Linked DNA regions of Alligator mississippiensis. The protein of the gene in region 1 interacts with the protein of each later gene in a pairwise test. Links are inferred from orthologs where the notes say so. Each region holds a gene or a part of one and is shown in the gene's direction. Other genes may lie near its edges.

What was found.
Region 2: the proteins of GOLGA2 (region 1) and USP2 interact in binary tests that used the Homo sapiens proteins (3 or more experiments, as listed by UniProt). The two-hybrid records come from large-scale screens. The link is inferred for Alligator mississippiensis from reciprocal best matches to the Homo sapiens genes GOLGA2 and USP2.
Region 3: the proteins of GOLGA2 (region 1) and NADH-cytochrome b5 reductase 2 interact in binary tests that used the Homo sapiens proteins (3 or more experiments, as listed by UniProt). The two-hybrid records come from large-scale screens. The link is inferred for Alligator mississippiensis from reciprocal best matches to the Homo sapiens genes GOLGA2 and CYB5R2.
Region 4: the proteins of GOLGA2 (region 1) and TRIM29 interact in binary tests that used the Homo sapiens proteins (3 or more experiments, as listed by UniProt). The two-hybrid records come from large-scale screens. The link is inferred for Alligator mississippiensis from reciprocal best matches to the Homo sapiens genes GOLGA2 and TRIM29.

What each region holds. Positions count from the first base shown.
Region 1 is NC_081835.1:57,572,689-57,580,495, forward strand, and holds the start of GOLGA2 (golgin subfamily A member 2), read left to right. Parts: upstream 1-4,790; 5' UTR 4,791-4,838; coding exon 4,839-4,889; intron 4,890-5,119; coding exon 5,120-5,251; intron 5,252-6,071; coding exon 6,072-6,152; intron 6,153-7,807. Other genes in the region: DNA repair protein SWI5 homolog, read right to left, coding at 86-174. UniProt on the Homo sapiens protein: Peripheral membrane component of the cis-Golgi stack that acts as a membrane skeleton that maintains the structure of the Golgi apparatus, and as a vesicle thether that facilitates vesicle fusion to the Golgi membrane.
Region 2 is NC_081839.1:31,067,015-31,074,520, forward strand, and holds the start of USP2 (ubiquitin carboxyl-terminal hydrolase 2), read left to right. Parts: upstream 1-4,496; 5' UTR 4,497-4,580; intron 4,581-6,304; exon of another isoform or gene 6,305-6,389; intron 6,390-7,506. UniProt on the Homo sapiens protein: Hydrolase that deubiquitinates polyubiquitinated target proteins such as MDM2, MDM4 and CCND1. Isoform 1 and isoform 4 possess both ubiquitin-specific peptidase and isopeptidase activities.
Region 3 is NC_081825.1:202,271,760-202,279,204, forward strand, and holds the start of NADH-cytochrome b5 reductase 2, read left to right. Parts: upstream 1-4,435; 5' UTR 4,436-4,524; coding exon 4,525-4,869; intron 4,870-6,634; coding exon 6,635-6,707; intron 6,708-7,445. UniProt on the Homo sapiens protein: NADH-cytochrome b5 reductases are involved in desaturation and elongation of fatty acids, cholesterol biosynthesis, drug metabolism, and, in erythrocyte, methemoglobin reduction.
Region 4 is NC_081839.1:30,574,484-30,581,957, forward strand, and holds the start of TRIM29 (tripartite motif-containing protein 29), read left to right. Parts: upstream 1-4,456; 5' UTR 4,457-4,654; coding exon 4,655-5,512; intron 5,513-7,474.

The sequences.
Region 1 (7,807 bases):
GAGGGCCAGGCACCCCCCGAGCCCAGGGGAGGGAGCAGTGGCCCCAGCAGGCGCGGAGCCCTCGGGGCAGGGAGGGAGCTCGTACCGGCGCGGGAATGGCCGCAGCGCCGCGCCGCGCTCCCCGGGCTCGCGGGCATCCAGGGCTGCCCGCGCGGTCTCCCCGCCGCTTTGCATGCTGGGAGCTGTAGGGGCTGCTGGGACTTGTAGTTAGTGGCGGCTTGACGCCGCTTTGAATACCGGGAGCTGGTGGCCCGTCGCCTGGGGAGCCGACTGTAGGGACATGTAGGCTGTGGAGGCCTGGCGCCGCTCGGCCCGCTGGGGCTTGTAGTTTCTTGACCTTGCCTGGGGCTGGCAGGGCGGGGCGCGGAGGGTTTCTTGCAGCCTGTCTAGGGGCTGGCAGGCATGTTGGCCTGGTGAACCGCTGCCAGGGCCTGGATTCTCCTCTGGAAGAAGGGGGAAGGCTCGAGCTTGCTCCTTCCCTGTCACTTGCGTTTAGGGTCCTGGAATAAGCACAGGATAGAAGCAATGGGCTGAATTCAGGGGCGGATCTGGTGGGGGGCAGTTGCGCCCCCCTTCCCTTTGATTTCTGCTCTACCCAAACTGTAACACCACCTGCCTGGGAGGGGCAGTGGCATTTTGGGTCAGGCAGCACTGAGTTAATTGACTTCAGCGCTCATGATCATCTACCTGTTTCCTGCTAATGTCTCTTCATCCCATAGGTGTGAACGACCTTTTTAATGGTCTTGATGTTCCACTGTGCAACCTATGTTTTCTTCTGCAATGCTGCAGTCTGTTTGCCATTCCTGGTCCTGTGTCTCTTCTATTTCACAGCGCTGTAGATTGGTTTTAGCTCTGGCTAAAAACCTTCACTTAGGTGTGGTTATATAATCTCAGGTGTAGACATGACCCCCAGTGAAGTGCTGAGGTGCTGTCAAGGCACTCAGGAAAACCAGGTTTTGTTCAGTGAATCTAAAAAGACATGGACATTTAACTTTCAGGACTAATTAAAAAGCATCTTTTAACCTTTTTTGCCTCATTTCTTGTGTTCTTTTTAAAGCGTTATATATAACCCAGCAGATTAATGCACATTCCAATACAGATTTGTTTGTTTTCACTTTGATCTTAAACTGAAAAATAGAGCACGAGGCCCCTAGCAAACTAGTAAAGCTTCTGATTTCTCTTTAGCTGGAGAAAAATAGATGTTATATGTGATGATGCGATGCACCAGCTACACCCCCCTTTTTAAAATCCTAGATCTACCCCTGGTTGTAATGGTGCAGTCCTTGTGATGTGTCCAGCACTACTACAGTATATATAACATGCACTGAAAGAACCTGCTAGGAGAGATTAGAGATGTAACCAGCCTGCATGCAATCTCTCCTAGCAGGGGGTATTAGATAGAAACCCTCACTGTCTGCCTTGTGACAAAAACCACATTGCTTGAGTATTGCAGAACCAGCCTGCATCCAATCATCATGAGCGTAGGCAGAAACACTACACAGACTGAGATGGTCACACAGTCGTGCAGATCTTTTCCATCTTTATCTTGCATGATCTTTATCTTGCATTCAGCTTCCTTTTATAAACAGCTCCCACTCCGATTTAATTTTGAAAAGGTTCTGTACTCTGCCATCTCTAAATCACCTTCAGTTAGCAAAATATACCAAAGATAAGATAAGGCCTGGTACTAGACGTGTAACTGTGGCTGTTTGGGTAATAGTTATTATCACAGAATCATAGAGAAGTAGGGCTGGGAGGCGCCTCCAGAAGTCATCTAGTCCAACGCCCTGCCTGAGGCAGGCTCAGCCCTATCCAAACCATATATTTGAGTCCGCTGTCTAACCTCTTATTTGTTCAGAGCTAAGACGTTATGCGAGTCTCACACAATGAAGTAAAAGATTTAAGATTTCTGAAGTGCAAGACACAAGAGTTATTTTTCAAAGTATGCAAAATCCTACTGACTGCTATTACAAATCAAGTTTAAAGTTTACATATTAAGGAAGAACAGGATCAAGAATGTGAAGATGAGCTCGTAAACTCACCTGTACATGTTACTTGCTTCTCAGTGAATTCAGAGAGCTTTACAACATCCATTGATGTATAACTGGGAGAGAGACCCAGAAGCAATTATTTCATTAATCCTCCAAAACCATGCAACTTGTAGGAAGAAACACTGTGGGGGGCTATGTATCTGTTGTCTAACTCTTCATGTCTACAGAGCTGGCATGAGCACAGCAGAAACAGAGAAAGCTGGAAAATTACATCATAGTAGTTTGACAGCTCTTCAAGCATTTTTCTTGACACTTGAGGCTTGTGTCAAGTGTTTATTCTTACACTTCAAAATTTGAGTTGCTCTAATAAAAAATACCAGATTTACCCAAAGAACTTTGTCTCCCTATGTCCTTAAATCAACACAGCTACAACCTATACCCCTGTTACATGTAACAATACTTATCATTTAGGTAGTGCTCATCTTGGTGTGCTTGACTAACATTCCCTGCACAAATAATTAGTCTTCATCACATAAGTGAAGCAGGATAAATCGATTGATATGAACATACTATTTGCTAGCTTCCCTGAGAAATTTTAAAACAAAAATCAAGAAGACAACCTGTCCTGTGGTATCTATTTCATTTTTAAATTTCTCAAGGCTTAGAAAATATACCTGTATCCAAGCACTTTGTTTTTAACAAAATTCATTTTTTGTAACTTATTGTATTCTACCAAAGTATTTCTATATATTAACTTTGACCTGGAAGGCTACAAAAATACTTTATAAACAGCTGATATACAAATGACATATTTTACCCACCACTGAAATGCAGCAACCTCTGGTGTAAAATACAAAGATCTATTTAACAGCACAAAGTAACACCCCCACAACAGTTAATAGTAAAAAATATTTATTTCCATTGGAAACAGCATCCGAAACTTTAGCTGGTGCAGATTATAACTATCCAAATAATTATGAGGACAGGACACCTGGGTTAAAATTCCAATTCTTACAAACATACCATAACTGTTGTTTTTTTCAAAGTGGTCAAAACCTAAATATTGCATTTCATCCAAAAGGCAGCATCTCTTTAAGCACAAAATCCTTTAATAGGCTTGAGAAGCTGACTCAGAACTGAGTCTCAAAGGAAAAGAGTGCCATCATCACCACCCTTCATACAGCACACGCACCATACCATGTCTGACTGGATTCAATGGTGACTTAGAAGAAAGGGAAACACCTGCTGCAATACCACCACTTGCAGCCCTTGAGCATTCCTCTGAAATCTTATGCCCAAGTTTAACCCTGGTGGAACACACATCTCAACATCCCAACTGGACAAAATGTCCAATACAGGCAAATACTAAAAAAACAGCAGCTGGCTGAAGGAGAACCAAAGTTTAAAATGAGTCACATTTCTCAGTGCTTGAAAACCTGAACCACACCCAATTATACAGATGTTTACATTCCTGTTCTCACTAGTGCTTCTCAATTTCTTCTTGCAATACAAACCCAGGGCAAGACAAGAAAACCATTTGCACTGCACTAGGCACATGTCAGGAAGAGCTTCCTTCCTGTCTTTACCCCGGTATAACTGTGTGAGCATACCGCATGTGCAGTGGTGACACTCATCTTTCTCTGAAACATTACCCCTGAGGAAATGCTGGAGGCAGTGATAACAGATTCAACGGACTACTGACCTGATCTGGCCTACTCCGCTTAAAGGAAATAAGCTAAAGGAGGGAGGTCCAAGAATTCAAGATTCAATCCAGAAAAAAAAGCAACATCCTCCACACACCATGAATCCCAGAGGCAGGGCTCAAGCATGATAGAGAAACCTAGAGAGATTTGACAAGACTGGATAAACACCAGGTTAAATTTGTAAGGCACAACTGTTTCCTGGAGAAATTAGCCCGGCACACAGCTAAGAATCACAAAGGGTGGGACCTCCAGAGACCATCTAGTCCAGCCATTCACAAACTCTGAGAGATTGCGCACCGCTAATTTAAAACGATGCAACCTTCAGTACCACCGGCACATTTTTCAGTTCAACCTTACGTACCATCAGCAAATTTTGTCGGATAAAGTAATGATAATAAATCTGTTAACACGTACCGCTGACAGGTGGTCTGCGTATCACTGGTGGCACCCATACCACAAATTGGGAACCGCTGATCTGGTCCAAACCCCGCCTGAGGCAGGATGAGTCCTGTCCAAACCATCCTATACCACCCACCACCTCAACCCCACAACCCTAACACTGTACGAGGCGACCCCTGAACCTGCTTCATATCCCAAAGGCCCAAGGGAGAGACCTGGGCAGACGGGGCAGAGATATGCTGCACAGATCCCAGGCAGAGGTGTGACTGTGTCCCCTCACGAGCTCACCACCGCCATGAAGCAGGATGAGGCCTGGGTGTGTCTCCCCCCCAGCCCTGCCTTTCTCCTGGCAACAAATATGGCATATTTCCTTCAGGACCTGGAGGCATTTTGCCAGCAACCCCCTTTTGAGCCCTGTGACAGGTGCCTTTTCCTAAACAAGGAGCAGGGGGTGGCCGGAGTCCCCGCGCCAGGGGAGGCCCGAGGAGGAGCCCAAGGCTGAGAGCACACCACACCGCGGGACGAAAGAAGCGGGCCGCACGCATGCGCACGCACTAGGGAGGGGAAGGGGAACGCCAGCGCGCATGCGCACGGGGCAAGGGAGGGAAGGCGCGCACGCGCACGCGAGCGGGAGAGGCGGCGCGCACGCGCATGCGCACGCGCGCGGGGGCGGGCACCGCCTGCCTGGTTCCTGGTGCCTGGTGTCTGGTGCCGGGCGGAGCCTGCCCCCGCTGACGTGGCGGCCATGGCGGACGGCGGCAGCCGGCAGAGCAAGCTGGCCGCGGCCAAGAAGAAGGTAACGCCCCCACCCCCCGCTCCGGCCCCCTCCTCGGGCACCGGTGACCTTGGCCGAGCGGGCGGGGCCGCACCAGCCCCTCCCCCCGCGGCGGCGGCTGTCACCGGGCCCCCCCCCCCCCATTTAAACCTCTGTTCCTCGAGCCACCTCGGCCTCCCCTCCCCCCCCGGGCCGGGCCTCGCCCCCCCCCCCCCCGGGCCTGGTCCCCGGGTGACGCGCCTCCCCCGCAGCTGAAGGAGTTCCAGCAGAAGAACAGCCCCGGGCCCGTGGCCGCGGCCAAGAAGAAGCGCAAGAACAAGGAGGGCAGCCGGCCCGACACGCCGACCGGTGCCGACGACAGGGACAGGCCGTCGCCCGAGAACGTGAGTGTCCCGCGCTTGCCCGGTTGCGTCGTGATACACACCGGGGACGGATGGGGTCCGCACCCCGCAGCCGCTAACGGGACCCGGCGCCACGGGCTGGGGCCGGGTCCGCTGGCGAAGCCGTTCTTGACTCCAGAGTGCGCAGTGTGGATTTCATAGATTTCATAGACATCGGGGGCTGGAAGGGACTCGTGAGATCGAGTCCAGCCCCCACCACCCTGCCATGGGCAGGAAGTCAGCTGGGATCAAGTGACCCCAGCAAGAAAAACATTGACATGGATGTGAGGGGTCGGGGCACACGAGCAGTGAAGGGACTGGGCTTGTTTGGCCTGGAGAAGGGAAGATGAGGGGTGAGAGCCGCCTTGGACTCCCTGAAGCGGGGGTAACGAAGAGGATGGCGGTTCTCAGGAGTGGCAGATGACAGGACGAGGAGCAAGGGTCTCAAGTTGCAGCAAGGGACATTCAGGTTAGCGATGAGGGAGCACTTTGTCACTAGGAGAGTGGTAAAGCACTGGAACAGGCTACCCAGAGAGGTGGTGAAATCTCCATCCTTAGAGATTTTGTAGACCCAGGTAGACAAAGCCCTGGCTAGGATGATCTAGTTGGGGCTGGTTCTGCTTTGAGCAGGAGATTGGACTAGATCTGACCTCCTGAGGTCCCCTCCAGCCCTCATTTTCTAAGATTGATCCTATGTTTCGACATCCATTTCGGTAAAGGGAGAGTGAATGCAAGGTCCTTTGGTTGCAGCCCACCTTTTGATTGGTGTCTCACTCTGTCTTTCTGAGCCATTTCTCTTTCCACTTTCTTTCACTTCCTTTAGATTCAGAACATACTGAAGGTGCTGGTGTCAGACCTTAATCGATCCAATGGGGTAGCCATACCCTCATTGGACAAGAGGAAGGTGAGGCAGTGTTCGGCATCCCTCTGACTAGTTTGCTGTCCTTACTGCATGCTTCAAGTTCTCTTTAAACTGCCTCTCGATTTTTTTGGATGAAGCTTCATTCAGGCATATTTGTTGTCAGTTGCTTGAGTTTTGTTGCTGTTTTCATTAACCTTGAGCTTTTTTTTCCTTTTAATGTGCCTCTTTGTTGCTCCTACTTGTGTGTTTCCTTCTGATTTGTGTCACGTTTAAAACGCAAAGATGTGAAATGTACCAGCTTCCCTTAAGATAGACTTGTGAGATCAGGCAGTTTGGAATTGTATCGGGGATCCTGGGTGATGGTATGAGTAGTAAACACCTCGCCACTCCTTTTCCCCATACACTTTGTTCCCACAAAGATGCGGCATGGGGCATATAAAAACATTGTTCAAACTGGGCCACAGACTGGGTTTATTTTCTAGATCTGTGATCTTCCTGTTTGCATGTCGCTGTTTTATTTATTAGTGCCTCATCTCTGAAGGACATGTTCTTGCTCATCTCTAATCAAGCAGTTGCCCTAAGTAAACTGTGTAGTTATTCCAGCCAGCTCATTTTGTGACAGGTGATGAAATTTGCACACGTGATGCAATCTGGCAAGTAGCATGGTTTTAAATCTGTCTAGGCAGGAAGTCAGATACTTTGTAGCAAGTGTTAACTAGCTCTAATGTCTTCATGTTGCCTGTAGTTCTGGCAGCAAAGGGACTGGGAAGATTCTTATCTATAATAAAATACAAGTATGAGAGAGCAAGCTTCTACCAGCCTTTTAATTTTCAACATGTTTCATAAAAGTAGTCTCATAAATTAAAGAAGGTTAAAATGTTGATAGAAACACAGAAAATGCAAAATAAAACATGATGATTCAGGAAGTACTTAGTTCTTGCTTTCCTAAAACCTCAATTACCTATCAACTTGTATAGTGTCCACAACTCTCTTCACCTTAAGCTTTCAAGTCCAGCATATCATTATACCTGCCTTGCATCCTTTTCTTTTTGCTCTACCCATAGATATAACTATGTTAATCACCAGGTGGAGTAGAGGACTCTGCTGTGAAACCTGCATGATGTGATAGATAAAATAAGACTTTCAGTAGTTTTCCTTGCATATTAATGCAGCAGCTCTCCCATCAGAGACTTGCAGTGCCTGGCACAAAGCTCTTGCAAGTGGGGTATTTCTGTGGGATGTTATATGGGAGAGCAGCGCTAGCATGGTAAGAGCACTTGACAGGTGCTTTCCTGTGGGGTTGAATGCAGCACGTTGGAAATATAATTTATATTAAGCTTATCAGATGGACACATCAGAAAGAGAATTGATGCTTGTTCAAGGACAGGTTGAGGTAGGATGTACGAATAATTTTTCTGTGTCAGTGGCTAATCTCAAAATGAGGGCCTAATCCATACCTGCTGTGTTTGTGCTGTTGTGAATATGGAAACGTTACTCTTCCATTAGTCTTCATGTCCCAAGTGCCTTTCTCTGCTTTCTTTGCATGCACCAGTGCATTTTGGACTGAGTAGCTGTTACAGATTTTCATCCTGGAGGCTGCAGATAACAATGCCCAGGGCCTCAGACTGATTTCCAAGTTGCTCTCTCTCTCATTACAGACTATACTTCGAATTTCTCTTCCCAGTTGTCTTGCTGGT
Region 2 (7,506 bases), on another chromosome or scaffold:
CCGGGTCCAGGCTAGACGATATCCCGAGCCCTGAGCTCCCCACCGTGCCCTGGAATCCAGTCCTTAGCTGTGACGAGAGAGAGCTGCTGCAGAGAGACCCCTCTCTGAGCTAGAGACACCCCCTCCCTGGCCACAGCCCCCCAAAAGTGGGGCAGGGCAAGCCAGCAGGCTCCTTGCCCCTCAGCGGGCTGGGGACGCCCATGCTCGCACCCCTCCCATCTCCCGGAGCTGGGGCTTGTTCTGTCCCCTGATGCAGGAATAAGAGCAGGGCCAAGCTGCCCACCCCAGGCCAAGGCACCGATGCCCTGGGAGTCTCTGTAGGTAGATACCCCCTCCCTCTCATTTGGGGTCCAGCAGCTGCATCTCTGGCCATCCCGTCACTGCTGGCTGCTGTCTCCCTCAGGACAGAGGCCGGGGGGGTGGGACCCCTCGATGCCAGCGCTCCTCCCTCCGTGCTTCCAGCTGTTTTGCTCCAGCCCAGTCTTCCTCCAGGTCAGGGCTCCAGTCTTCCTCCCCCAGCAATTTCTGCTCCCTGGGGCTGGCAGCCCCTTTGCACCTCCCCTCTGCTTTGGGGCCCCCAGGCCAATGGGGGCCAGGGGAGGCCCCCGAGAAGATGCAAGAGAGGCTGCACCGGGGCAGCCTTGGCCCCCACCCTCTCCCCCTGCGCCAGCGAGGGGGGCGCAGCCCGGCCCCGATCCGTGATCCGTGCCCGCTGTCGTTGTGTCCCCGGCTTGCTGCAGCTCGACCCGGCGGGGCAGTGCCTGCTCTGCCACAGAATAAACCCACTGGATGCCCGAGCCTGCCCTGTCTTCCTTGCGGGTGCCCAGGGATGCCCGGCCTGGCCCAGCCCAGCCCAGGCCAGGGAGGGGGGACCGGGCTCCATTGTGACATCGCGGCCCGGGCAGCTCCGCCTAGACACCGGTGCTGGCTGCTGCGCCCGGAGCCAAGTGAGTGCATCGCAGCCGCCTCCTCCGGGCCTAGGGAGCGGGGCGATGCCCACCTGCCTGCTCCATGGCAGTGCCCCCCAGGCTGGGGGAACTGCGCCCCCCCTCCCCGGCTGGTGCCCACTGGGGTTTGCCCCCAGCTTTGTGCGGGCCAGGGAGTGCATGGGCCAAGCCAACCCATGCCAGGTAGAGGAGGGCACATGGCCCCTCACACAGCACGTGCACATGAGGTTGTGGCACATCACAGCGGCACATGTGCCACGCCGTGCTGCACGTGGAGGTTGTGACCTCAATGCCCAAGGGGCAGGGGTCATGCCAGGCTGCAGGCCCCTCCCTGCAGCAGGGCGGAGCGGGGAGCAGCTGGACCCCTGGCGTCACCCTCCTGGGGGTGGAGGCCAGGGCTGAGGCTGTCCCGGGCGCTTTCCCATTGCCGCCTGCCCCATTCCTGGCCCGTAACGCAGAAGGGAGGGAAATGCCGGGTTAATTGCATCCTGCCTAATTATCCCAGTGTGCGCAGACTGAGTCACTGCCCGCCAGCGCCCCACGTCAGCCCTGGGGACCAGCCCTCAGCGGGTGGCGTCCCGCCCGATCCATGTTGCTCTGGGTCTGTGCACGGGGCTCCTCCTACGGCCCCGGTATGCCCCAGCCCACAGAGCCCCAGGGGTGACCGGCCCGTTGCCACAGACCCACCAGGCAAAGCCGGCTGAGAAGGGCCTGCCCTGTCTCGCTTGTGAGGACCTGGTTGCTGCAGGGGACAGATGCCTAAGTGCCCTGTGACCTCTCCCCCCAACCTGTCTGTTTGCACCATCCCAGTCAGCCCTGCCCTGTGTCCCAGACAAATCCCTGCCTCTCCTTGTAGGGTCCCGTCCCATGCTCATCGCCCTGGTGCAGGAAGGTCCCAGGGGCACCGGGTCCCCGTGGCCTGGGGGATGGGGCAGGCCTTCCCCTGCTCTCAGCAGGTGCTGGATCAGGATCGGAGCAGCCTGCCATCCGGTGACTCAGACCCTGCATCTGTTGCCTGGCTGCTTCAGCGCCCAGAGGCCCTGCTGCCTGTCCCGGCTCCGTCCCATTGCCCTGTCCCCAGAACATCGCCCCAGCCCTCCTCGCTGCCTTACACCTCCCTCCAGGCCCTCCAAACCTTGGTCTCCCCTGCCTCCAGCCCCCGGTGCCTCTGGTTACCCGTGCCCCCCACCCTCTGTGGCAGTGCCCTCTTTCTGTGGGTGCAGGGCCCCGCTGGATTGGGCCCGGTGTGCACTGTGCTGCCCCTTTAAGCTCCCCGGGCTGGCATGCCAGAGGCGTGCTCCAGCGCCCAGTGAGGTCAGATAAGACACTATATTTATCTAGCCGGTAACCTGAGCTGAGAATTTCTTCAGCGGCTCACGCAGCGGCTCAGCCCTCGGCCCATTCCAGCCTGGTCCCCAGCAGAGCCGTCTGCGCAGACATCCCGTCCTGTCCCGCAAACAGGTTAGTAGCCATCGGGTTTCTGCTTGCGCGCCAGAGCCAGCACCTCACTGATCCCGACGTGACCCCGTCCCGGCTGCTCCGGTGTCGCCCCATGACAAACCGTGACCCTCCGGCCCTGCTCGTCCACACGCAGGTGCGTACGGGCCCGCTCGGGGCTTACGGGACTAATTCTGGGGCCCCGAGAGGCAGAGAAAGTTCAGGGAAGACTTAGCCAAGTTCACTGCTGCCTGGAAAGGAAGATGCTGAGCAGCCCGGGGAGGACATGGCAGCAGCTCCTGGCACCCATCCTTTGCTTGTTCTTTGTCGTTCGACCCAAAACCAAGCATCCTCCACTCGCCTACACAGCCCGCTGGGCACAAAACTGGCCTGCTTGTCGTCCAGTCCCACCAAGTCCCCCTTGGCCATTGGGTGTCAGTCCATGCCACGCAGTGGGTTTGACCGGGCTGTGGAGAGCTTGGGCAGGGGGCTGGCTGCGTCGGGCATTGAGAGCCAGCTTGGACTTTCAGCAGCGGAGGTTGGTGCCCTCTGATTGCTGCTAGGCAGCAGGTGACCTGAGTTGGTAGGTCTCGGCTTGGGACCCAGGGGACAGACCGGAAAGCCGCCCCTGGAAGTGCTGCTAAATAGAGCAGAGAAGGGCTTTGAAAGCTGGGGCCTTGGCCAGCTCTGTGATACGTGTGGGTGGGAGAAGGCCCATTGCCACCCAAGAGGGGAGCCATGGGGATTTGGGCACCTTGCACGCAGGGAGCAGAGCTGGGGCTCCAGGGCAGGAGCTCATCCTGTGTCTCCTGGCTCCAGCTCCAGAAGATAGTTGTGGATCTGGCCCCACAACACAGACCACGTGCAGTCTGTGCCCACCCCCCAGTCATGCCAGCAGGGCCAGCAGGTGATTTGCACTGAGCCCCGGAGGAGTTAAGGTGCCTGGCTGATCCGCTGATAGGCAGCGTCCCCTGGGCCATGGAGCTTCTCGTGCAAGGGAAACGTGCAGGCAGCTCCCAGCCCCCAGATAACCCCACGGGCTGCAAGGAATTCCTGGCATAACAGACCTCGCGGCCCGGCAGCAAACAGGCCCTTCCCCTCGCGACCCTCGGAGAGGGGCATTCCCTCTCCCCGAGCCTGGAGGCCTGGGTGGAGTGGGTCCATGAGGGGTTCAATTTGGTGTCCCACCCTGCTAAGAGCTTCGCCGGGCCCCCTCTCATCCCAGCCCCCAGCAGCCGTCCGCTGGTCGGAGGTGACCCTGCCCCGGGAGGCAGCGGATGCCCCGTGGTGCTGGGTACGGCTTGTTGAGATCTAGGGTAACCTCCAGGCTGGGACATTGTGTCTCTGAGGCTTTGACTCCGCTTTAGCACCTGGGTAAGCAAGAAATGCCTGTGCCGTGATGGCTCTAGCGCGCAAGCAAGCACTGGGGCTGGGTAAGCCAAGTCCATGGGGACAGTGTCGGTGCAGGGAGCAGAGCAGCATCCCCCGGCAAGGTTACCGGGGTGGGGACAGAGCTCTGGCACCGTGGCCCAGGCACTATTGCCAGCAGGTTTGGGAAGGCACAGGGTCCCCTCCGTCATGCCCAGCCAACCGGCTCAGTGACCGCCCTCGTGTGCAGCCCAGCACCTCCAGGCCAGCTCTGCAACCTCCTGGAGCACTTGGGGGTTGTCTGAGGGGACCAGGCCTCTCTCCTCACCCAGAGGTGGAGCCAAGCCCCTGCCTGTCTCACAGAAGGCATCTCTGGGCTGCCAGGCCTTGGCACACTTTCCTGCCTTGAAGCTTCAGCTCCAGACTACTCAAGAGGGAACGGGGCAGTCTAGTGGTGAGGGCTGAGAGCCAAGACTCCTGGGTCCCATTCCCAGGCTCGCCTCTCCCTCGCCACATGACTGTGGACCGGATGTGTCTGTGCCTCAGCTTCTCCATCTGCACAATGGGACTAATGACAGAGCGGCAGCCTCCCAGGGAGGGTGGAGGCCTGCCTGAGTCACTGGGGCCTGCTGCGGCCTTTGAAGTCCCAGGTGCTATAAAAGCACCGAGAATTATTCCAGAGAGAAGCTGGGCTGGTCGGGATCCTCCCACCTCGAGGTCTCAGGACAGGTGTCTGGTCTCTTGCAGTCCTGGGGCCCAGGATGGTGTGACACAGCCCGGGACGCTCCGCGGAGCAGGCAGCTGGCACAAAAGTGGCGATCTTAGATGGTAAGCGGTGAGGGGCCCTCCCGACACGGGGCAGAGGCACAGGAGTGCCTGGGGACAGGGCACTGGCACATGATCGATGTCCTCAGATGTAGCCTGACGCTGGGGCTTGGCCTCTGTGGTCTTGCAACATGTTCTGGCTGATACCTCCCCCGTCCCCCATAGCTTTGAGCTCATATTATGTTTCTTGGAAATGAATTTCCACAGCTGCTTGTTTCACCCCAGAGGTGGCTGCCTCGGTCCTGGCTGGGGGGCTGTCAGGAGAGGTGCTTTCTGCGTCAGCGGGGGGACACGGTCATCAGGGGGAGAGTCCAGCCCTGCGTGTGGCTCATGAGAGAAGGGGCCCTGTTGCAAGACGGGCACTGTGTGGGGGGAAGAGGGACTCGGAGAAGTGGGGCTATGGGGTGGGCACTGAACTGGGGCTGGTCTGTGCCAGGACTGGGCCCTGCAGCTGCCCTGGCACCAGGGAGCCTGCTCTGGGCTAGGCTCCGGGGCAGCCCAGAGGGTGTCTGTGCTGAGCTCACCTGCTGCTGAAAGGGGCCGGGAGCTGCGTGGCCTGTGCCCCGTGAGCAGTCCCCATACACCCAGTACCCGTTGGGTCGTGCCACCCTTCAACGCGGCTCCTACTTGCCTACAAACCAAGCCCCTGCCATGCCAAGGGCAGCGGGGCTGGGGCATCAGCTCCTGCTGATGGAGGGAGGGAGCAGCCTCGCCCCAGGTGGATTATTCACCCCAGCGGCCTCCTCCCCAAACAGGTCTGTGTGCTCGGGCTGGCTTTGCCGGCTCAGCGTTCCCGACCCACTCAGGGATGATTGTTTCCTCGAGAGGACGGGATCCCAGCCCGATGCTGGCGCAGCCCAGAGGCCCAGACAGAAAATCCCTGGGGCGTGGGCAGGGGCTGAGACACTGCTGTCCTGGGCCTGAGCAGCCGAGGCACGAGCGTGGTTAGCATAGCCTCCCCGGGACCCGTGACCTCCCTCCAGCGGCTTCCGATTTCACGTGGATCGCTTTCACCCGCCCGCCTGCCAGTGGAAAATCCAAAGCTCCTGCACCGCGATGGGGCCCGAGGGCCATGCACGGCCCCCATGACCCGAGCCCCTGCGCCTGGGGGGCCTCGGCCCCTGCTGGGGGGCATCATTAGGGCACAGACAGGGGCCTGGGCTGCTAGTGCTGCTAGTGCTGACAACTCTGGGTGGCTGAGCCGGACCCAGGTGGACCCGGCATCCTTGGACTGTGGGGCAGGACTCGGGCTGCCTGGGAGAGCAGGCGGAGGCCAAACCCGGTGCTCCCCGGCCGGCGTGGCTGCAGGGGGTTGGGGCTCAGGACCTCTGGAGCTCCCCCTGGCTCTGCATACTGCAGCCGAGGCCCCTGCACATCTCTGCCTGCTCCGTCAGGGCCTTGCTATGTGTCCCCAGCTGCTGACCTCACTGCCCTGGGGCTTGTGGCTGTGTCACCGGCACCGTGGCATGTGGGTCAGCAAGGCTCCGGGGATGGGTGGCGTAGCAGATGCTTGGAGATCCCCAGCAGTGAGGCACGGCGGGTGTGGGTCAGCCTGCCCTCGACCGTGGCCCCTGTGCCAGCGGCAGGCAGCGCGCCGCACAGCCGCTCCAGCCAGCGAGTGTGTGCCAGCCCCGCCCTGGCACCCGGCCAAGCGTGCCGAAATCCCGCCCAGCCATGCCGGGGAAGGGTTTTGAATCAGGGTCGTTGCCTTGGTGACCGGAGACTCTCGGAGCCATGCGAGCCGCTGTCCTGAAAGTGTGGGGAAGCGAGCGGCGGGCCCACAGGACTGTCCAGGGGCTTCCCCGGCACCAGGTAATGTCCCTAGGTCCCTTGGGGACCAGCCAGAGCCCAGGCCTGGGAGCCCTGACCCTGCCCCATGCCAGCGGCTGCCCCTCCGCATGGAGCTGCACCAGCAACAAACTTTCCTCCCAGTTGCAGCCCAGCGGGTGCCCAGGTGCGCCCCCCTGCATCTCACCTGGGGTCTGTTGGGAAGTGGGAGTGGGGGGGGGTGCTCTTGAGAGCAGTGCTTGTGACCCACCAGGCTCTGTTGCGGCGGGGGCAGGGGGTGGGGAGCTGGCCAAGGGGGTGCCCTGGGCACCCCCTCTGGCATGCAGTAGTGCTTCTGCCTTCAGGGCACTGCCCAGGGCTACGGACACCAGTAGGACTCCAAACTCCTCGGTGCTGTTGCTAGCTCTGCTACTGACTCATTGGCTGGCCTTGGGCATGGCACTTACCCCACCCTGGGTCCAAACTTGACTGACTGCCTGTAGTGGGCACTTCCAGCCATGGGTGTGATGCCCCCCAGGGGCATCTCCCCCCCCCCCACATCCATCCCATAGGTGCCCAGAGGTGAGGCTGGCACCAGGAGTCTTGGCCTGGCGTCTTTGCTCTCCTGTGCTGCCTCTGGTTGGCCCCCAGTCTAGCCCAGTAACACCCTTCCCCCCTCCCATCCCAGAGCTCTTGAATTGGGTCAGGTCTTCCCCCACCCCCAGCCCTTTCTTGCAGCAGCCTGGAGCAGAGCTGGCAGCTCCTGAATAGCCCCGGCCTCTGCTTCTGGAATACCAAGGTCCCGAGGCCGGCAGGGGAGGGGGCATTCCCATGCTCAGCCGCTCCAACAGGGCATCCCGTGGGCATCACAGTAGCATGCTCCAGCCGGAAGCGCGCTTGCGGGGCTGAATTATTGATGGGGCAGCAGCGTCCCTGGGCAGATCAGGTGTAGCGTGGCTGGGAGCAGGTGGCAGGGCCTCGCTGTGGCCCTGATCCTTAGTCTTCCCATGGTTTCCCATCACCCTTCCTTCTCTCTGCCCCCCTGCACTCCCAGGTCCAGTCCTTCGCTCTGTTGTCTTCCTCTGACCACAGTGGGGCACGAGGGGGTCCAGCTCCCGGTCTCTGCTGCACGTGCCGGTCAGGCTGTGGGGAGGGGAACTTC
Region 3 (7,445 bases), on another chromosome or scaffold:
CCAACTCAGGAAGGAAATCACCGTATACTACAACAACTTAAAAGACAGAAATCCATGCATGTTCCCTGACAATATAAAGTGGATACAAAGAGACTACGAAAAACTTTCTACAGCATTCATCCTACATAAAAAGAAGAAATGGAACAAATTACCCCAAGAACAAGCTCCCCAACCACAAAACAACCATCAGAGGAACAACACCAACACCTTACAACATTCCAACCTCAGACTCGATGAAACTGAAAGCAGCAACCAACCCACAAATATTATAGATCTCTCCACACACATGCTTACCAAAACTGAAAAATCTGTCCTTTCTAAAGGCCTAAATTTCTGTCCAGAAAAATACCCTAACAAAATACTTCAATGTGGAGAACTAGAAGAATTCTTCCGATGTCTACGCCTCAAAGAATATTTCCATGACCAAACTGAACCCACTCCCAACAACAACTCATCCTCTGACAACATTCAGGAAAGGATCAATGCCAAAAAGCCCAAAAAAACATCAGATTGGACACCTCGCAGTGGATGAAACCCTAACTTTGACAGCTACATTGACTGCTTCAGGGAAAGAATGAACAATGAAATAATCAGCAACACACGCCACCACAACAACGTCTTTCTACCAGAGAAAAAGGCCATAGAATCACTAAGATCTAACCACCAAATAGTAATAAAACCAGCAGATAAAGGAGGAGCCATAGTCATCCTAAACGGTGAGGATTACATAAAGGAAGCCAAGAGACAGCTCTCTGACACCACCTACTACAAAGAACTACAAGAAGATCCTACTCCCCTTTTCACCAAAAAACTCAAAAATACCATCAAATCATTTCCATCAAGACTACAAGAAAAACTACAGACCTTGATCCCCCCGCTACCTAACCCGGGGACTTTTTACATGCTCCCTAAACTCCACAAACAAGGGAACCCTGGCAGACCTATCATATCCAACCATGGGACCCTAACTGAGGAAATATCAGGTTTCGTTGAATCAATCCTAGAACCGCTTGTCACCCACAGAGCAAGTTTTGTACAAGACACTACAGACTTTCTACGGAAACTTAAAAACATAGACCACTTTCCCAGCAACACACTCCTAGCCACCATGAACGTTACCAGCCTATATACCAACATCCCACACCAGGATGGCATCCAAGCCTGCCTTACATATCTACAGGAACAAGATTACAACTCAGAATACAGACCCAAAGATATTACTGACCTTATACACTTCATCCTCACACACAACAATTTCACTTTTAATAATCAACACTTCCTCCAGATGATGGGAACAGCTATGGGCACTAAAATGGCCCCACAGTATGCCAACCTTTTTATGAGCCACCTGGAAGAAGACTTCCTCAAGAACTGCACCATCAAACCCTTGCTGTACTTAAGATACATCGATGACATCTTCATCATTTGGACTGAGAACCTGCAATCTCTGATTGAGTTCCATCAGAAATTCAACAGTCACCATCCCTCCATCCGACTTTCTTTAGAATACTCCAGCACCAACATCTCCTTTTTAGACACAATGATCAGTATCCAGAAGGGTAAAATACAGACTACAGTATACAAGAAACCCACAGACCAACATACATATCTGCACAGAACCAGCAATCACCCTAAACACACCAAAAAAGCTGTGATATACAGCCAAGCCCTCAGATACCACCGCATTTGTACTGAAGAGAACACCCGGGATTGCCACCTCACCAATCTTAAAAAGGCTTTCACCTAACAAGGACACTTGTCCAGAGAGGTAAATCGCACATTTGAAAGAGCCACCTGGATACCATGTGAAGAACTGCTGCCCAGAAGAAAACAGAAGAAAACCCCCCACAAATCGCACACCGCTAGTTATGACGTATCACCCCTTCCTTGAACCTGTACGGAAAATCCTCAAAAAATTGCAACCCATACTAGACAGAGACCCTATTCTTAAAAAAGATCTTCCCAGAGCCACCCATCCTAGCCTTTAAACAAGCACCGAACTTCGCCAACCTCATCACCAGAAGCAAGCTTCCTCAAGCCCAGAACACACCAAAAGGATCCAGACCATGCCAGGACAAGAAATGCAAAACCTGCCAACACATCTCCACCACCCCCACTATTACTACACCCCACAACAGAGCCATCAGCATCCCAGGATCTTACAGCTGCACCTCCAGAAATGTAGTATACCTCATCCAATGCACCAAATGCCCTGATGGAAAATATGTAGGAGAGACCAGACAACAACTGCACACCAGAATGAATGCACACCGGAAATCCATCAAAGACAGAAATACGCAATTACCTGTGGGGGCACATTTCTCACAGGAGGGCCACTCTCTCTCCAATCTCTCAGTCCTGATCCTCCAGGAAAATTTACACAACACTTCCCAGATCTCCTAGATACTAGAGATCATGGGCTAAATATAGACATTGGATTTTTGATACGTTATAATCTGCCTGGCAACTGACTCCCCAGCCCAGCCCAGCCCCTGGCTTGTTTGCTTTTCATTCCATCCAGGAAGAGCACACACCAACTGCTGAAACTTCCTTAGCCTGACGAAGGGTTTTTGAACCCGAAAGCTTGCTTAATAAATATTCTCCACCTATTTGGGTTGGTCTAATAAAAGATATCAAATTCACCCAAGGAACCTTGTCTGCCTATGTTCACTTCTGTGTCACTTTAACCTGTGCAGCTTAGACTAACCTGCAAAGACTGAATCGATTCAACCTCAGGCTTTTTGACTATATGTAAGCCAGGGAATCTTCCAGAGCACAGCTCTGTCCTCTGGCAGTCTGAGAAATGGGGATATTGACCAGTATGTTGATGTTAAATCTCTTGCTTTTCAGTCAGGTGAGAGAACACAGAGGGAACAAGGAAGTAAAGATAATAGAAACTATGAAAATGAGGGGTTTGAGAAACAGGATGGTTGTATTTCTCTTTTGTAATCAACACTTCTCACTTGCAAGGGAATTGAATGATTTTTTTTCAATATCTTTACAAGCTTGCTCACTGCAAAGTGAAGAATTAACGCGGCTGGGGGGTTCTGTGCTTTATGTTGTCTTGTACTGATGCTCATAATTACACACACAATGGGAAGTTTTCTCGGCATCCCTTCCCTTATATCTAGAATATATCTAACCTACCACAGTGCACCACCCTGTAGCGATACACCAGCTAGCTCAGACACTGCAAGCAGTGATTCAGTGTAAGTCTAGTAATTTAAATCAAGCTTTTCACCCTCAACCAATGTATTTTCCTCGTTTTCTGTACAGCCAACTTGAAACACTTCGTGTCTGAATCGCAGCAGCACTGAAAGTCAGGGACAGTAGTGATCTGAACAGATGAAATGTTAAATAAACTGCAACAATAATTTTTGAATATCAGGTCTTTGGACACCCAAAATTAACAGTCTCCCATTACCCAAATATTTATAACACATCTGTGGGACATCTGACGCTTAAAACTGAAGAATCTTGGAATCTATTTTGCCTGGCCTTTACCATTAATTAGGTTCTTAAAATATTATGCAAGCATTAATATTCTATTAGATCTTACAAATGGTTGGGTTAGTTTCTGGGTGTTGGAGTGTGTATGCATGTATGGGGGGTGTGTGTGTGTGTGTGTGTGTGTGTATATATATATATATGTGGGTGTAGAGCAACTTTGTTAAAAAAAAATAAAATTACTTCCATGAGTTGTTTCATTTACATTAAAAAAAAATTAAGTCTACAGGTGTGTGTGTGTGTGTGTGTATAGTTATATGTACACTACAAATCAATTACTGTGATGTGAAATTTAAGTAGTACAGCTACACTGTATAACTTTATTATACACCTCCCCCCCACACAAATATGTATACACATATACACACACAAATACACACAAACACACGTACACAGACATAAACACACACACACATATATATACACATGTATACAGATGCATATATGTGTATTTATGTGCCTATATGTGTATATTTATATGCATCTGTGTGTGTGTATATGTGTATTTATACACACGTATACTGACATATAAATAAATATACACACACACATTTTTATATACATACATACGCACACAGGCCCGTGTGCGTGTATACATGTGTGAGAGCCCAAATGCTTGCAGATTTTTTTATTTTTTTTTTGCAATGTCTTAGTCGGTCTAATAAAAGGTATCATCTCTGAATCAAGACTTCTAGATTTTGCATTTTGTGTGTGTGTACACACACACACACACACACACACACACACACACACACACACACGGCGTTAATCTCCCGCGTACCTCGGTTTCATTAACAGCAGCCCTTTACCTCAAACGGTGACAAAGGGAAAGATGAAAAAGAAGAAAAGCGGGGCGGGAGGGGAGGCAGCAGGTGCCGGTAGAAGAGAAGGCACGAGGAGAAGGGCGGCGGAGAGAGGCGCCGGGGGCGAGCGGCAGACGCGGCGTGCGGTCTCGTCTAGTGTCGTGGCGCCGCGAGCCCGGCCGCCTGGGCCGCCCCCAGCACGGAGCCGGCCGCGATGGAGCTGAGCGCAGTGAGCGGGGCGCGGGCGGGCGGCGGGAGCCCCGAGCGGGGTGTCGGGAGCGGTGCCTCGCCCGGCGCAGCCTCAGCTTTTGCCCTTCTGCCTCTGCCTGCCAGCCCCGCCTGGCGCCCGGAGGGCCCGTGCCCATGCACCCCCGAGGCGATCCCGGCACCCTCACGGCCCTTCCTGCCCCGCTGTCCCCAGGAGGTGTCCGTGCTCGTTGCGGCGGTGGTCGTGGGCGCCTCGGTCTTGCTGCTCGTCTTCAAGGCGGCGAGGACGCGCGCCCCCATTGCGCTGAGGGATCCCAATGCCAAGTATCCGCTGGCCCTGGTGGAGAAAGAGGTGAGCAGGCTCTTCTTTTAGGCCAGGGGTTGGCAGCGGTTTTGGGCAGTGCCAAAAACACCCGCGGCCTCAACTTTTATAATGTTGGCGTGCCAGGGGCAGGGGAGCCGTGAGGGGCCGGCTCCTTGTTGCGGCTCGAGTGCCAAGCAAAATGCCTTCACGTGCCGCGCTCTGGCCCACATGCCAGGGGCCCTGCTTTAGGCCTCCTTTTAGGACTGTCTTGTGTGACTCTGATCACAAGACAGTCCACACCGTCTTGGGGAGGGGATGCAGCCGAGCGGCGAGAGCATGGGGCTGACATTGAGATTTGGGGTCTGTTCTTGCCTCTGACACTGATCAAAGTCCTACGGGTTGGAATGAACCAAGGGGCAGGGTCAAGTGGTATTGGGGAACTGCTTGAGCAGCTGGCTTACTACAAGCTAATCATCTTGACCATCTTCCACCGAAAAACCAGAGAGCGCTTCACTGACTGTTATAGACATACATTCAAGCCACAGATTTCAAAACCAGCAAGCTCAAAGTCCCAAGGGGGGACAGGATGGGGGTGGTGGACAGCTGTGCTCTAGGTTCAGCTCCAAGGTCAGATTTTAAAGCTGGCACTCCAAAGTTCAAGGCGGATGTTGCTGTTGTCAGTTTGGGCTAGTGTTTAATTGCACATGCTTTAGTATGCTCTATGAGAAGCTTAATATTAATATTCCTCTCTTACTTACTGGTAGGGAAAGCAGGGCCTGAGGAGGCCAGGTAACCTTTTTATTCTCTATGCATGTTTCTAAAGTTGCATCACTTAGCGTAGGATCCTCTATTTTCCAAATGTTTATAATACATTTGTGGGGTAAAGCTGAAGCATCTTGGAATCTTTTTCCCCAGACATTACAGGTGCTGACAGATGTGGGGGAAAAAAAATGAAAAACCTGTTTTACCAGAAGCAGCAGCTTATTACTTCGACTGAGCTCTGAAGTGTCTGTATAGATCAGATGCTTCAGCGGTGCTTTTTGGCACTTTAATAGCTGATCCAATCAGCTATTAGATAAAAGTGCCAAAAAAGCCCACTAAAGTGCCTGATCTATACAGACATTGGGAAAGCCGGGTTCAGCTAATACGATGCCTCTTCCGGGCATGTGCTGGGCTCGGTGCGGGGATGTACCAAGTTCAAAGTAAAGCACCGTTTTTGTGGGTTGTTTTTTTTTTTTTGGCGGGGGGGGGGGGGGGGTTCCACTTCTGCAAGCAGCCTACTATATTAATTTGGTTCCTAAAATATTATGCCTACATTAATATTCAGCTAGCTTTTACAAATGGTTGGGTTAGTTTATTTGGCTATACAGATCCTAACCTTTAATTTTATATATGTGAGAAACTGGAGTTGCAAATTTGTCTTGAGGAAGGCTGTGCCTTTACATGTCCTGTCTTGCTGGAAATCCTACCATACATCAGGAAATGTGTCCAGTATACAATGATGATAGAGGGGCTAAAGAGGTTTGGTTCATTCGTGTAGCCTTTTTTTACTTAGGCAAAATTCACTTCCCATTTTCACTGTGGGTTAGTGGAGTCTTTAGTATCAAGTTCTTTATAACTAGGTTTGAAAGTCTTGATCAGGCAGATTGCTGTCAGACCAGTTGTACTTCATGTCTCAAAGTTGGCTTGTATGTAAATGGAGAGTAGATTCACTACTGAAGCTTATTGTGCTGTTTTCCAAAGCCAAAGCAATGCTGCACTGCTCTATGAATTGTTATAATACTCAGGTCTTTGTCTCTCTGTTTATCGCTAGGAGATCAGCCATGATACCAGGCGTTTCAGGTTTCGACTTCCATCGCCAGATCACGTATTGGGTTTACCTATAGGTAAATACTGAAACACTTTATTTTTATTTGTAAATTTGGGATTTTAACAGAGCTCTTAAAAAAGGAGCAAGGAGTGAATTTGCTTTTCAGGAAAACAAGGGATTGAACATTTCATCCTGCCATATTATGACAACAGGCCTTCTCACCGGCTCTGATCTATTGTACCCTTATATGTATTTCACTCATGCTACCTTGTGTAATATAGGTTGGAGTCAGACTACTGACTTGAAGCTGCTGAAATAACAAAGTGAGGGTGACTATTTGACACAGATAAATGCTATTTGACAGGCTTTCAGCTATTTTTTATTTTCCTAACAAGAGGTCCTATAATTATTTAAATATAAGAAATGATCCCCCCCCCCGCCCCCAATCAGCACGGGGGTAGAGATGGACCAAGCAGCCCTGCACTCCATCTGCATGTAAATTTTTGGAGGGTTTCAGGACTTGTGACAAGAACACCTACTTCCAGTCACAAGTGGGGGTGGGGAGGTGCTTATTAGCAGATGAATCCTTTGTTGGGGGGGATCTGGAGTACACACACAAACACTGAGCAGTGCTGGGCTGTGGAGTTATCATGTCTTGAAATACTATTGACTCTGCTGGGGCCCAGCCAAGTGAAGTATATCAGTAGTTCTCAACCTTTTACACCTTATATCCAACCAATCATTGGTCCCAAAAACCTGGGTCCCACTATGATAAATGATGAGCGGGAGGGTGCTGTGAGCTGCCCCCTGCTCT
Region 4 (7,474 bases), on another chromosome or scaffold:
GCACCACGGATCTGAGAAAAGCAGTATTTCACGGTCACTGATCATCAGTGCCTGGTTTGGATGGACTGGTTTATATACTCCCTGATTGCATTGGGGATGGCTCTGTAATCTGTATATTAGGTTTCCTGAATGGGATTCACAGCTGAGAGGCTATACTAGGTGTTTTGGAGACAGGGGTGTATGGGGAGGTTGTCTAATGACTAATACAGAAGAGGCAATGAGTAGCCCGAATTGCTGAACTTTGCCACTGAGTTGTTAAAAGACCCAGGCCAGGGGCTTATGGATTAGGACTGGCACCCAGCCTCCCACTGCCTTCCAGTGGCTTTATCTGGCCTCGGCGTCTGCAAATCTGCTTTGGGGAGGAGAGCTCTCTCTAAGCAGCCTGGGAATTTTTCAACTCTTTTCATTCTGTTCATTTTAAACCAGACTGATCTGTCCCTGGTCTGGCTCCCCACGGTTTGTTTTTTTTATAAACAAGCAAGCCAAAAATATGTCCCTTATGGAAACAAATTAAAAAAGCAACCCTGCATGCATTTGGACAGCACCTAGCACACGTGGTTGTGGGCCCAGGATGGGTGTTCCTCGGTACTACCGCAGTATGAACAACACACAAAGAGTTTGCTGCCCAGTGAGAGTGAGCACTGCAAAATCCAAATCGGAAAAATCAAAGAGGAGGAAAGCAATCACCAAAACGTGTATGAAAATAGCTGTGGGCCAGGGCAGTCGCATCATCGCCGGTTCCAAACCTGGCACCATCCCCAAAGCCACCCAGGCCTGACCCCATTTATTAACACAAGGATTTTAGCCAGCGCACCTCCCCGTGCCTCAGTTTCCCGAATTGTTGTGCTGGTTAGTAACACTGACCTCCTTTGCAGAGGTGTTGTGAAGCTTCGTTTATTGATCCCTTCAAAAGAATCCAAGGTCCCCACATGAAAGGCACGGAGGAGGCTTGAAAGGCTCCAAGTATGGGTGTATACTATGAATCAGGGCCTTGCCCTGCATTACAAATGGGCGTAGCCTGTGAAAAACCTTCGTAGATGCCCCAGACCTACCATGGGGCACCGCATAGGAGAGCGCTCTGCCCTGCAGGAAGCATAGGAACGGGCTATACAAAAGACACAAGTCCTAAAATGTTACCTCATTCTCCATCCTCTGTAAGACACCAGTACAGGTAGCCTTAAACAAGTCGTATAAATGCAAAGTAAAGCCGGTATGGGACTCTGGCAGTGGTATCCTGCCAGTCAGTTTGGGGAGCTGAGACACAAACCATCCAGAAAGCTACTAGGACCTGCTACTGTTCCCCACTGCCCTTCTCAGACACGGATACCCAGCAACTCAAGACAGGTACAGCAATGCCTGAAAACAACACCGAAAAAAATCAAACAAGCTCGTGTTTCAGACAAGTGCAAACAGGAGCGAATCCCAGCAAGAGCCAAGAATAACAGGGAGAGGGAGGGCGGGACCTGGCGGGAACATGGTTGGCAACGGGTCATGAAAAGTGGGTGCAGCGAGGTGCGAAGGAAGTGGAAGACAGAAGAGCGAGAGTGGGTTTTCCCTGCGTTGTCTTCTGCGGAAAAACAGCCCTTTGAAAGCAGCAGGCCCTGAAACAGGGCAGCTCCAGAGATGCACTTAAGCCCTTGCTTATCCAGGTCTAGTTATCACCCTGCTCCAAGGCAGGCAACGCCCAAGGGGGGCCGGTTATGACGGTGCGGGAGTCTGCTACGGCCTGCAGAGGCTGGACGGGGTAGGCAGGCTCCCCTGCTCTCCAGATCAGACGCCCAGCTTCTCACCGCAAATATGAGGCTGACTTAAAAGCCATGCCATTGTATAAACCGCTTCATGTTGGGGTTCTTCACCCAGCTGCCTTTGGGATGCATCTCTGCACGTCATCACTTGACTCCAGGAGCTGGGGCTTTACCAAAAACAGAACCAGCTTTGGGTGCCATTGGTTACGATGCCAGCGACAACCTGAAACAGTGCTCCCATGATTGCTACTAATGAAGGAGCTGAATTAGCCATGGTGGACAAAGGCAGAGAACAGACGTTACCCAACTTGCTGGAGGGCCCTGATCCTGCTGAGGAACCATGTGGGTAGCTTACGTGGGCACAAGCATCTCCTCGTGTTGCGTTTGCAAGACCAGGGCAGGGTCATCTCGGTGAGGAGCGAGCACCAGGCCGGATCCTTGAACACAGTTACGCTGGAGCCTGTCCAGACTAGCTGTACTCAGCTCCGAGGTGCTTGGGATTTACATCAGTGTAACCGAGATCAGACTCTAAGCCCTTAATTCACTTGCACTGCCTACCGAGGCCCAGACTCTATTAGCACCAGTGACCGCAGAGCGATGGAAGCTAAATTGCCTTTCCCTGAGCCAAGTTGCCGCGTGCTTTTTTTTCTTCTCCCCTTTCTCAAGCACTAAGAAAGGCTCTGCGGATTTTCCCCTCGTACACGCGAGTGCAGACTTACTCCACCTGGAACATTTGTTAATCACCTTGAGATCTGCCGGGGCTGCTGCTGGAAAAGAGCAGCTCAGCTGAGGAAGCCAGGAGGTGAAGGGAGGAAAATTCAATCTTTTCTCCCTTAATAAGATTTGCTCTGTAAAAAATGGCATTGGCCTTTCGTACACCGGGAGCTGGAGTCCATGCAGGGAGGGCTCGCTGTCCCACTAATAAAAGCCTGGTATTTAGAAATTGCTGAAGGGGCCTCTTGCTCACATCCATTAAACAAAACATCGTCTGGGCTGGGTTCCTCACAGTCGAGAGCTCCTGCTCTTCAGGAAGAGGCTAAAAAGGGTTGAAACCCAGAGCTGGAAGTCTGCGATTGCAGAGAAGGGCACTTTGGTGTCTAGGAATCCTTCCTCCTTATCGAGGGAGCAGCTGTGCTGCTTTCCAATGGGCTCTCCCTAGCCCCACGTCCCTTTGCATGGGCACAATTCATGCCATGAAGCTCATTTCAGGACTCGGACCCAAAGTTTAGACCGTTCAGACCAAGGGCCGTGGTTCCAGCTGTGCTAGGGACCAGCTGCACACTACAGACCTGAGCCCTCACTTCTCGCGGTTTGGAGAGCTCTAATAAATATATTTATTTATTATGAGACACTAAAAGGACAATCCCATCCCAAAGCAAAACCCCCTTTTTATTATAAAATGAAACTAAGCAAGTCTTCGGGCTGGCCTGTCCTTTCACTCCCTAGCTATAAACCAGGAGCGATTCCATTGATATCAATGGAGCGAAATCAGAGCTGAGATGGTACAAGTGCCTGTCGGTCTCTGAAAGCCGCCCAAGGACACAGGGGCCTTTGCAATGCCTGCATCTGCACCTAGTGGAGATGCAACTGCTGGTTTATCACAAACATGCGGGTACCTTTCAAAGGGGTTTTCATTGAAACAAGAAGCAAACCGTTCTATTTGATCTGAATCAAGAGGAAACAGCGTAGGTGTCTTCACGTTTTCTATCCTCCTCCTGTTTTCTAGCAGTGAGAAAAAAACAGGGAAAGAGCATAGGGAAGAGAGACGAAGCGTCTCCAAATTCCTATTCCTTTTATTTCAATTAAATATTTTTCTTAAATTTCATTTGGGTAAAAAGGTGAAAATTAAACAGGGAAAAAAAATGCTCAACCCTTTAAATGATTAATCTTTTCAATTCGCCCTGCAAAGTGTTTCCAGTTGTGACCATCAAGGTCTGAAACACGGCACATCTAGTCACCATCCAGACCCACTGCAAAGCCCTTTTATTGGGGTGAATATGGGTGGCAAGCTGGTATATATGGAAGAGAGAGTCTTCTCCATGACTGCAATGCAATAAGGTGGACGGGGGCTTTGCTTTTAAGGTCTGTTGGTCACACGATCGACGGTCACATATTCCACTGAAAAGTAAGTGGCCACCCATGCTTTGGTTCATGTTTACTCTGTTTCTCCCACGTCCTCCTGGCTGCTAAGTTCATCGCTGGGACACCTAAAACTGTGGACGGCTCCAACTTGAATCATACCAACATCTCAAACACGTGACAAGGGTCAATCACGCGCAGCGTGATCCATTCCCCTTCCTCTCCCTCCACCGCTCAGCCTGCTGAACCTTGGAGATCCCAGCTTAATGCATGTTATTCTCCATATTAATTTTAATTATGGCCCTAATTATTTTTGTGCATGGGCATGACCCACTTACCAAGCCCATGTTGTGGATCTCACGCCTGCCAACCCTGCCTACCTCTCCATTCCCGACGGCGAGAAGCAATTAGGGACGACACAAGCGGCAGAACTGGTTGCTGTGGCTTAATGAAAGTTATTTTTTTTAATCCTCATGTGTATAAACAACCCTTCCCCCTCGCCAAAAACCTGGTTAGACAGGAAGGTTCCTGGGTGGGGACTGCATGAAATAATTGCCAGCACAGCTGTAAAGTCTCATCTTTTGGTTACGTCTCTCTCTGCCTCAACCCAGCACAATTCAGGTGTTCTCCTCCCCCTCCCAGTACGTCCAGGTGTGTCATTTAGCAGAGCCTTGCCTCCAATCCACCTCCCTTCCTTGCGGAGAGACAACTGGCAAGGTTAATTCAGAAAGAAGAGCCAGTGGAGAGACCTACCCTCTTCTCAGGGGCTGAGGAAGGAGCGAGGGTGAGAGAACAAGCGGTGGAGAAGAGCCAGCTTGGTCTGCCGTGCAATGGAAACGGGGAGCGCAGCCAGGACAAACGGCACCGCTGTGAAACAAGAGGATGCGAAGAGCCAGTCCAGCCCGAAGAAAAATGGAGAGGAAGCCAAGAAGCCCACCAGCCCCAGCAGGGGAGAGGAGACGGTGAAGAGCACTGGGGGCTCGTCTCTGGAGACAGGGCAAGTGAAGAGCTCTCTCTTCCCTGGCGGGGAATGGAAGAGGCCCATCATCCAGCTGGTGGAGTCCGCCGATGAGAAGCGGTCAAGCTACTTCAGCATGGACTCGGGGGACACCAAGAAGTTGCCGTACTCGGGAGTGCAGCTGGGAGACTTCAAGAAGCCCCCGTTCTCGTTCACAGAAAAGGGGGACTTCAAGAAACCCTTCCTGGCAGCAGAGCTGAAGAAGAACTTCTTGGCCACTGATGGGGAAGGAAGGAAGCCACTGTTTCCTAGCTCGCAGTTTGGGGACCTGAAGAAGCCGTCTCTCCCTTTTGTAGAGACCGGGGACCTGAGGAAACTAAACTTCAACAGGCCTGAGCGTGTGGCTGGGTCAAGGCCCAGGGTGAAGCTGGAAGATGTCTTGTGCGACTCCTGCATCGACAACAAGCAGAAGGCCGTGAAGTCCTGCCTGGTGTGCCAGGCTTCCTTCTGCGACCTGCATCTCAAGCCCCATCTGGAGGGTGCCGCTTTCCGGGATCACCAGCTGCTGGACCCCATCAGGGACTTTGAGGCGAGGAAGTGCCCGGTGCACGGGAAGACCATGGAGCTGTTTTGTCAGACAGACCAGATGTGCATCTGCTACCTCTGCATGTTCCAGGAGCACAAGAACCACAGCACGGTGACGGTGGAGGTCGAGAAAGCAGGGAAAGAGGTAATGCTCCTGGCTGCCCTTTCCTATTCTTCTTTCCCTTGATTCAGTACTAGGTCACTGCCTTTCTGCTCTCTCCCCGTGACTCTGCGGGGAGGCCAAGGGTGCAAGGCACAGCAATCTTGCACGGACTTTGACGGGGCACTGACTTTGGGTATGGCAGTTTGGCATTCGGGGGTCCGGTCCCTGTTGTTCTTGCTCCATACTTGGGAAAGGCAATTTAGACCTGTCATGGGTATGGGCATGGAGGAGGGTCTGAAGGTGGGTAAGGTGAAAACAAGGCATTAAAAAAAGCCAGGATTGCTTCTGCCAAGCAAAATGGTGGTGCAAACGGTGGTGGCAATGTTTCTGGGCTCATTTACCTATTGAGATGATAATGTTGAACCCCAACTATGGAAAGCCTTGCTTGACGCTGTGTTGGGGAAGGTAACAAATGCGCTGGAGTGGGACTGAAAGGTGCAGAAGCTCACAGGGCTGCAGTTTTAATGGAAAGGCAGTCTGCCGAAGAGTGTAGTACCACCAGGCTAAAGACAGACACTCTGGCCTTTGATTTGTTTGTCTGCTGCTTGCTTTCTGGACGTGGGTATTGTTGCTATTACAAGAGCAGTCTCCAGATGGACCGGGGCCCTCTTGTACTAGGTGCTGTATAGGTGTTGTGAGTTTGAGAGACAAGGCAGAAAGAAGAGATCACCCTTCCCCATTTTACAGGTTGGCACAAGTAGGTCAAGGTTGCATACAGCCTGCGGCAGAATCCGGAGGTGGCGCCAGATCTCCCAAATACCATCGGCGTGCCTCCACCCACCAACCCATCCATTTTGTGTGTGTTGTTAGATCCTCCAACGCCACGGCGAGTAGATGATGATACAGATGCCTGTACGGGCAGAACGACCAGTTCTTCAGTAACCCCAAATACAGACATGTGATTTAATCCTTCCCAGGGCCGAAGGGAAGGAAATCCCTAAACCTTCTCAGCGAGGGCCAGAGTAGCAGCTTCCTAAATGAATCTCAAACCGTCAGCCATGGTAGGGAGGAAGCAGAGTGGCTGCCCAATTTCCATGCCCTCTTGCTCCCGTTCCCAGTATACTGTCCTCGTCTGGCTGCTCTTTGCACCCAGCTTTGTTATAACTTGCTCTGTATCTCTGCAACTCTCTGCATAAAGAAGCCCCCATTGAAATCCCTGCAGGGCTTATTTCTTCTGCAGTTAATTTCATGCCTCCTCGTTCACAAGTTTCACGCCAGCTCAAGCAGCTTGGTAGCATCTGCCTTGCATCCATCCCCTTAAATATTGCATCTAATCTCTGCAAGACCCTCTCTTAAATCTGTCTTTTCCAAAAAATACAAGCCACCATTTGTTCCTCTAACTCATGGTTAATTCCTGCCTCCAAATGACACAAGACTTGCTGCCTGCAAACAGGGAGCAGGGTAGAGAAAAAAATAAGCTGTTGCTGGAAACTTATCCAGGGCTTCCTTTGATGTCTGCTCTCTTTACATTCTTTCTTGGCTCTCATTAATATAGCACCCAAGCCCCAGAGGGATCCCAGATGCATTCCTGAAAGGTGTTATTTCTCCTGCTTCTAAGCCTGAGGGGTCTGGGGCTTTATCAGTATGAATCACACACGCACGCGTTACTCTAGACTGCAGCGCCTGGTCACGTCACAACTTGAGGGAGTTAGCTTGTTCGGAAGTCAAGTTGCATAGCTGCTTGACTGGACATTAGGAAGAACTTCTTCACAGTTCGAGTGGCCAAGGTCTGGAACGGGCTCCCAAGGGAGGTGGTGCTCTCCCCTACCCTGGGGGTCTTCAAGAGGAGGTTGGACATGCATCTAGCTGGGGTCATCTAGACCCAGCACTCTTTCCTGCCTATGCAGGGGGTCGGACTCGATGATCTATCGAGGTCCCTTCCGACCCTAACATCTATGAATCTATGCCATCCACTCATGCAGGCTTGGCCCGGGACCCGATTCC